Ovis aries: one gene and its partner. The protein of the gene in region 1 binds, or shares a complex with, the protein of each later gene. Links are inferred from orthologs where the notes say so. Each region holds a gene or a part of one and is shown on either strand. Other genes may lie near its edges.

Region 1 (3,802 bases):
CACAGCAATAGAAAAGTCCGTGGTGCCTTGGGTCAACGACCAGGACGTCCCTTTCTGTCCGGACTGCGGGAATAAGTTCAGCATCCGCAGCCGCCGCCACCACTGCCGCCTCTGCGGGTCTATCATGTGCAAGAAGTGCATGGAGCTCATCAGCCTTCCCTTGGCGAGTAGGTGACGTGGGGGCAGCCTGGACCCTCACCTCCTGTAGAGACCAGCCCCCACTGGGGGGCTGGGGGTGCTTTTTGTTTCGGTATTTGGTCCATGGGACCTTCCATTTACTGTTGATTCCTTGAGGCCCACTACAGCCTTGGCCCTGTGCTAGGGCCCAGGGGAGCAATGGTCTGTAGTAGAGGTTGGCCAGCTTTTCCCATAAGAGACCAGATAGTGAGTACTTTAGGCTTTGTGGCCCACATCCTGTCTCTGTGACATTTCTTCTTTATTACACAGCCTTTTTGAAGTGTGAAAACCATAGGTAGCTTGAGGGCCACATACGAAGCCAGGCAGACTTGGCTCGCCGGTCGTTGTTTGCCCACATGTGGTCTATCAGCATCGTCCATTCCTCCAGGGTAGGAGGAACCCAGTGGCCCAGGACTTTGAATCTCAGCTGGTGAAAAGTTGCTGGAGATGATCTCAAGGCATTCTGGCTGACTCTGGGATGTGTGGGGGTTTTGCAACCCTGCAGAGTTCCGGTGATGCATGTGCTGTTGGCTGCAGGGCATCTGGGTAATGTGGGAAGGGGCAGATGTTTCCTGGGTGGGGCTCTGGTGTCCAGTGGGCACGTGTCACCTTGGTAAGTTCCCTTTCACCCCAAGACGACTCCCTGTCTTAGCTGAGCTATGTTCTGGGGACACGCTTCATCTTCCTTCTCTTGGGCTGATTAACTGATATTTACTGGGCAGCTGCTGTGCGGTAGCCCTACTGGAACAAACCCATAGGGATGCAAAGATGAATGAGACAGTCTGTGCCCTCGGAATCACAACTGCTTGGGCAGCTCTGGGCTGTGCATAGAGCTGTCATCACACGGAACAAGTGGGAAGTGCCCCAGGAGGAGTGACATGGTGGGAACTGATAGGTGGGCAAATGGTTTTTACCTCAAGGAATTGAGGAAGGCTTCCTGGAGGATGTGCCATTTGAGCTGAGATTTGGCAGGGGTAGCAGTGGGGTTTGGGCATGGGGGAAGGCTGCGGGGGCGGTCCCAGGGAGAGCCTGGGTGTGTCCGGGCAGCTGGAGCAGGGCAGGAGGTGGTAAGGCCAGATTGGGGTGAGCCTCAGAGCTTCAAGGACAGACTGTCCTTGGCTCCTGGCTGTCTCCTGGAGGCACTGGGCGTCCAGCCCACCGCAGAGCCTGAGTCCTGGCAGGCAGAGGTGTGGGTGCCTCTTGCCCGGGGCAGCGTCTGCACCCCGCCTGTGGAGTTCACCACTGCCCATCCTGTGTTCTTTACAGACAAGCTCACCAGTGCCAGCAAGGACTCCCTGAGCGCTCACACCAGCCCCAGCCAGTCACCCAACAGCGTCCACGGCTCCCGCCGGGGCAGCATCAGCAGTGTGAGCAGCGTGAGCTCCGTCCTGGATGAGAAGGACGATGACCGGATCCGCTGCTGCACACACTGCAAGGACACGCTCCTCAAGAGGGAGCAGCAGATCGACGAGAAGCAGCGCACGCCCGACGTCGTGAGGCTCTACGAGGTGATTCCGGGCCGGCTTGAGTCCAGTTCCAGAGGCCGGGCTCTTCGTTATGTGCACGCCCGTGGATTTTGAAAAATGCTTTGGGAAATCGTTCCTTTCAGTTACTTTTAGTTTCTGCCAGAGGGCACTAGCTGGGGCCCTGCGTGAGTCGCAGAGTCACTGGGTGTGTTGCAACAAACTTGCTTCCTTGCCCTTCCCTGCCCACCTGAGAGTTGGAGGTTGGCGCTTTCGGTGGCCCAGGGGCAAGAGGAGGAAGGCTGGTTGCCATGCGGTATGGACAGGTTCTGTGGGTCAGAGCGGGAGCAGGAGCTGGTGGTGAATAGTGGACCAGAAGGGTCCTGGGACACTCACGTGGGAGTTTGAGAAACTTCCCAGAAGCACAGAGCTTCCTCTTTTGAGTCCCTTCAAATGCCTCAGCTCCGGTTACCACCAGCAACCCTGCAGTGCCTTGAGGAGCTGCTGCGTTACAGGAGCAGAGTGTAGCCAGAGCCTGCGGTTCAGAGTCAGACTGGGCATGAGCTTGACTCTGCCTCCTAACTGGGATGAGGCCTGCAGGCTGAGAAGGATGAGCCAGGAGGGTGTTGGGCAGGGAGGTGATAGGAAATGGGGAGGAGCGGAAGGAAGCAGTTGGTGCAAAACCGGACAGGGGAGAAGAGAGTTTTTGTCTGGTCATCACTGAATGGTCACTATTAGCAGCTCTGTGGGCCCCAGTGGTTGTGTTTCTGGAACCACAGTGAAAATAGTCAGACTACTAGAAATGGTGTTAATTAAAACCTTGCTGAGCTGCAGACGTAGCTGTTGTCCATTGTTATGTGGAGCTCACGATCTGATAATTTCTGTAAACAGCCGCTAAGCTTTTGGTTTCCTTCTTTTTTGAAGTGAGCCCTGGCAATGCCTTGTGTGGTGTCTAACGTCACCTGGCAGATAAAGGCCATAGCAACTGATTTCTTTTGCTACCTTGGTGAGCTCACATGACGTGTGTCCTGGAGGGCCTTGGTCCTCTCAAAAACATCTGGCCAAAGTTCACCCTTCTTTCCTTCCTACAAGATTTCCTTGTAGAGTAGGTCTATAAACCAGGAAATTGATAACAATGAACAGGACAAAACTAAAAGCCACTCTCTGCATTTTTTTTTTTAAATTTAGAAAACTGCACATTTTATATACATCTCCATTGATTCCGCATAACCTTTTTGTTGCCTTTTCTGTATCTTGAGACACAACTCACCTCTTCTTTTTTGTTCTTAGAAATTACGGCTTTGCATGGAGAAAGTTGACCAAAAAGCTCCTGAATACATCAAGATGGCAGCATCGTTAAAGTAAGCTCTTCCTCTCTGTTTTACTGACTCAGTGGTGACTGTTTTCTGGCATTCTGGTCAATTCTTTAGTAGCTGAAGATGTAGGCCCTGCCCTTTTCCCTTCAGTCCTTGCAGCGAGACGCTGCAGCCCCTTGCAGCAGACAGTGGAAGCGCGGGGAGCCCTGTTTCTTGAGTCCTCTCAGCCCCACTGTCCCCGACTACCCCCATATACCTGCGCCTCCTGCGTCCCAGCCCTCCTGTCTCCACTCCTTGCTCGAGACCACTGGCTCTGAAGGAGAGCAGGAAAAGCCCAGTCCCTTCTCCGCCTGCAGTTCACTGAGTGGTCACTTCACTCAGCGGGTCCCACTGCCCTCCTGGGAGCAGCTGGGAAGAAGCGTAAACCTCCCCGGAACGGAGAGTCCTTGACTGGGAGCGTCTGCCGCGTGCTCCTTTCCTCCCTGGAACTCACTGGAGGCCACGTGCCCTCCTCCCTCCCCTGCCCGTGGGTTTAAAATTAGAGGAGGCCTTCCTTCTACCTGGACGCCAGCAACATCAGCTGGTGTTCCTGGCAGTGAGCTGGCATCCAGCCCTTTCCTCAGGACATTGTCACCCTAGGGCCTCCTCTCCCAGAGTCCCGTTGGGTTTTTGCTCTGTGCCTTAGACACCATTGTGGGTCCGTGGGCTCTCCGCTAGCCAGAGGGGAGCTACCACTGCTGAGCGCATTTCCAGGCGTGTTAACTCTTCCTCCAGAGACCAGTTCTGAGGGGCTTCAGCAGGTGCATTTCAGTCTGCCGCTCATTCACTCAGCGGATGTTACCAAGC
Region 2 (4,295 bases), on another chromosome or scaffold:
CACAGGGTGCCTGCGCTTAGGACCTGAACATACCTTTTGGGGGATACAATTCAACCCACAGCAGCATACAATCACACATTTTAAAAAGAAAATATCCTGATAATTCTCAAAATTATATGGTAAATACTGTAATATTTTCGAACTAAAGCACAAAATAAAAATATTAAGAGTCCATTGTAATAAAGCTAGTACAGGACCAACAATTTGTGTTCTTGCTTCATAAATTGTCATGGTAGAATGCATAAATTACAGTGTGTATAGAGATTTGGCTTAGATTTTTTTCCTCATTCTCAAACTGCCCCAGCCCTTAAATCTTTTTTTTTTTTTTTAATTTCTAGCATCTTCTATACCACTTATACTTTTTAGCTCCTTTCTGAACATCACTGCTTGATATTAATATTTGATTTGTGAGTTTTTGTCTCACAAATCTTGGTATCAGAAATCACCTAAAGCCAATCTGTGATCAGCCAATCGATCTCCTTGGGAAGTCCCAAGCCACATCAACTGGCCAGGCCTTTAAGAATGCTGTGAATTTAACGGTATTTGTGAAGCACTGTTTAGGGATAATCAGCCGGAGCTTTCAGTCAGAAACCGGTATGTTTGAGATTTCAATGTTGTATTGCAATATTACATAAAGTATTACATAAGGTATGGTATTCATGTGGTTGGTGTTTCTGGAGCAGCAAAATGTTGAACACCAGTCACTGGAAGGTGAAACACTGCCTTAAGAAGCTAAAAGGCATGCGGACACAGCTCATGAACGTGTACTCATTAACAGTATACTGGTAAGCAATAGTTCTTCGTTTTTCATCATATCCCTGGCCAACTACAGAGATTCCTTTTCCAGAAGAGAGAAAGTGAGCACAGAGTACTAAGGAGTTTAAAGATTAGGAAAACATTCCTTTACCATCTACCTAACAGGCAAACGTCTGAAAGGAGGGAAACTGTTTTCCATCTGGGAAACAATGCTATGCAAATCTACCAATGATAAGTGAAGGTGATTGCTTGGTTTGGGGTGACTTTTATTTTGGGTTAGCACTGTGAAGTGCCACACTGCTCTTGCTAAAACTAAATTTCTATGTGTTTCACTTAATTTCTTCTATTAGAGGGAAGGACTACAATTAGTAAAAACTAAAAACATATTTGGAAGCCACCATGAAAGAAGAGGAATAAAGGTCAAAGCCTGATGAACAGAATTTGATCAGTTGACCTGTGATGCTCGATGAGCTCTGTCTGAAATGGAGACACCATCTTTTATCAAGGTTATCATTTCATACAAAATATGGTGTCTCCACTTCAGAGGAAATGGCAATCCACTCCAAAATTCTTGCCTCAAGAATCCCATGGACAGAGGAGCCTGGCAGGCTACAGTCCATTGGGTCACAAAGAGTCAGACACGACTGAAGCAATTTAGCATGCATGTTTCACATGAGACAGATGAAACATAAAAGCTCCATCTTTCAGTCCTCCTCCTAACTCGTAACCCCACTTGGTTTCTTACTTGGACTTTCCACTGCTCCCATGTGCTCCTTCTCCAGGTCAGAGAGGGAAAAAAAAGCGTGGGGAAAGGAGCACTTGAAAAATAAAGAAAAAGCAAAAGCATAACCAACACTTGCTGGAGAAATGGATTTTTTTTTTTTTTTTTTAGGAAATCTGACTATGGTTCTCTATAGAGAGGCAGACCACGTGGATGTGGCAAGTACAGTAACATTAGAAGCTCTGACAACACTGATCCTTACAAGCCAGGGGTGTGGTTTCCGACTCCCTAAACCTTCTAGGAATAGCTGTCTTGCTCCCAGTGTTACCAAGAACAAGGCAGGTACCAGGCACAGGAGTGGCTGAAGGTGGAGCAAATGCCTGGGTGCTTGAGGGGCCTCAGCCACAGTCCTCTTACAGGCATCCTGGATCCCTCAGGGCCTGGGCACTTGTAGACCAGTTAATGCCTCCGTGCCTCAGGTCTGAGTCACATTTCTTTTTAACATACCTTCAGAGACCATATTCCTTCAGAACTCCAGCCTGGGTTTTTTTTTTTTTTAATATTCACTAGTATCATAAGTGGATTAACACTGTATCCCCCAATGGACTAGCTTGCCAAGACCAGAACAGTGCAGGAGGGTACCTTGCACTGTTGGAAACCACACCAGCCCGTAAAGCCGGTCCACACCTATCTGCTGACAGAAAGGGGCAGCACGCCAGGGCACACGGAAGAAGACATGACGAATTTGACTAGAGGTAATGTTTTTGAACTCGAGCCCCTCCCTGGGGCTGTAAAATCAAAATCAGACTTAATCTGAGAATGCCCAATCTCAGAGTGACTCCAGACTGGTAAACACTAGTAAACCTTGATACAAAGCAGAGATGTACTCTATTGTTTATTTTTACCACGCAGGACAAAAACACACAGATTATGAATTGGGAAGGCTTTCGTTTATTTAAAAAAAAAAATGTCTGCTGGCTGCCTTCGGGTGTGAGTGCTACAGAAGAAGCAAAGATCAAGCAGAACAGGCTCTGCTTCCGAGGTGTTTATAGTCTTGCAAAGATACATTTATAAACAGCCACCATACAGCTTGAAAGGTCTCGGAAGGAAGAAATGCCTGTCCATAAGTCCTTGTAATTTGCGTGCAAAGGAAGGAATTTCAAGCAAGGAAAGGTCAAAGTGGAAGAGTCGAAGAACACACTCAACTGCAGGCGTCGTCCCAAGTCCTTCACATCCCTCGCTGGGGACAGCATCGCAGTCTCTAATGGGCTTCCCTAAACCCTGAACTAACATCAGACCAAGAAACGGAAACCCTACCGGCAAGTACGCGGAGAAGCAGCAGGCAGACCCTCGGAGAAGCAGATCACATAGCCGGGCTACCCTCGGGCGGCCGCGCCCCAGCACTGGGATCCCGGTCCCCACGCCCCCGGCCCCGGCCCGCGCCCCCCGCCCCGTACCGTAGGTCTCGGACATGGCCGTCTGCGACATCTTGGGAGCGGCTCCGCCTCTCGCGGGGCGCCGCTGCGGCTCCGCCGGGCCGGCGGCAGGGAGGCCGGGGAGTCGGCCGCGCCTCGGTGGGGAACGCGAGGGGCAGCGAAGCGGAGGAGGGAGGGGCCCGCGGTCCCCGCGGCAACTGCCGGCCCCCAGCTGCTGCGGCCCCGCCGGACTGCGGGCTCCGCGCAGGCGCACGGCCCCGCCCCGCTGTCCGGGCGCGGAGGGGAGGGGAGGGGAGGGGCGGCCGGGAGGGGAGGGGAGGGGCGGTGGGGAGGGGAGGGGAGGGGCGGCCGGGAGGGGAGGGGAGGGGAGGGGCGGCGGGGAGGGGAGGGGAGGGGCGGCCGGGAGGGGAGGGGAGGGAGGGGCGGCCGGGAGGGGAGGGGAGGGGAGAGGCGGCCGGGAGGGGAGGGGAGGGGCGGCGGGGAGGGGAGGGGCGGGGCGTCGGGGAGGGGAGGGGCGGGGACCCGGCGCTCGCTGGGGGCGCGCGGGGAGGGAAGGGGAGGGGAGGGGCGGCGGGGAGGGGAGGGGCGGGGCGTCGGGGAGGGGAGGGGAGGGGCGGCGGGGAGGGGAGGGGAGGGGCGGGGCGGCCGGGAGGGGAGGGGCGGGGCGGCGGGGAGGGGAGGGGCGGAGACCCGGCGCTCGCTGGGGGGCGCGCGCGGGCCGGCTGGGGCGGGGCCGGCCGTGGGGCGCAGCGGAGCCGGGGCGGGGCGCAGCGGAGCCGGGGCGGGGCGCAGCGGAGCCGGGGCGGGGCGCAGCGGAGCCGGGGCGGGGCGCAGCGGAGCCGGGGCGGGGCGCAGCGGAGCCGGGGCGGGGCGCAGCGGAGCCGGGGCGGGGCGCAGCGGAGCCGGGGCGGGGCGCGCGGGGGCGGGCGGCCCCTGCGGTGGCTGCAGGGGTGGGGAGCCGTCGGCGGCCCGCAGGCCCGGAGGTGACCGGGAGGGGCTGGGGGTGTCCGGGGCTGAGCATCACGGTCCGCTCCCGCACAGAGGAGGCTGAGTGCCCGCCTCGGAGAGGCAGGCCGCCCTTTGCCAGGTGGGCCGCCTCCGCAAAGACGTGGCCGTCGTCATCTGGGGCACTCGGCCAACGAAGGACTTCCTCTGAGCTGCAATGATCAACCCGGGTCGGGGTGAATGTGTAACTAGGCGGCGGCGGCCGCAGGTGTCCAGCGGGAGGCCAGCGCTGCCGGCTGGGAGGCAGGCTGACCTGCCGGGGATGGAGCTTTCACTCCTGACCCGCGGGGGCCTCGCCGGTGGGGCTGAGCTGGCGTCTGGGGAAAGCTGACAAAATCTCAGGATGTACCTGTGCCGAAGAGTCCCTAGAAAACTGT

What was found.
Region 2: the proteins of RBSN (region 1) and RAB4A are in contact, whole or in part, in a crystal structure (PDB 1Z0K), measured with the Homo sapiens proteins. The link is inferred for Ovis aries from reciprocal best matches to the Homo sapiens genes RBSN and RAB4A. Residues at the interface, in NP_001289307.1 of Homo sapiens: Glu441, Gly442, Trp443, Leu444, Pro445, Ser447, Glu454, Pro458, Leu459, Gln461, Gln462, Asn465, Ile466, Phe469, Asp480, Glu481, Thr484, Leu485, Asn488, Leu492, Glu495, Gln499; in NP_004569.2 of Homo sapiens: Tyr10, Leu30, His31, Ile34, Glu35, Ile46, Gly47, Val48, Glu49, Phe50, Gly51, Ser52, Lys53, Lys63, Gln65, Trp67, Arg74, Phe75, Ser77, Val78, Ser81, Tyr82.

Annotation. Positions count from the first base shown.
Region 1 is NC_056072.1:57,112,461-57,116,262, forward strand, and holds part of RBSN (rabenosyn-5), read left to right. Parts: intron 1-5; coding exon 6-167; intron 168-1,443; coding exon 1,444-1,685; intron 1,686-2,930; coding exon 2,931-3,001; intron 3,002-3,802. UniProt on the Homo sapiens protein: Rab4/Rab5 effector protein acting in early endocytic membrane fusion and membrane trafficking of recycling endosomes. Required for endosome fusion either homotypically or with clathrin coated vesicles.
Region 2 is NC_056078.1:777,011-781,305, reverse strand, and holds the start of RAB4A (ras-related protein Rab-4A), read right to left. Parts: upstream 2,966-4,295; coding exon 2,935-2,965; intron 1-2,934. UniProt on the Homo sapiens protein: The small GTPases Rab are key regulators of intracellular membrane trafficking, from the formation of transport vesicles to their fusion with membranes.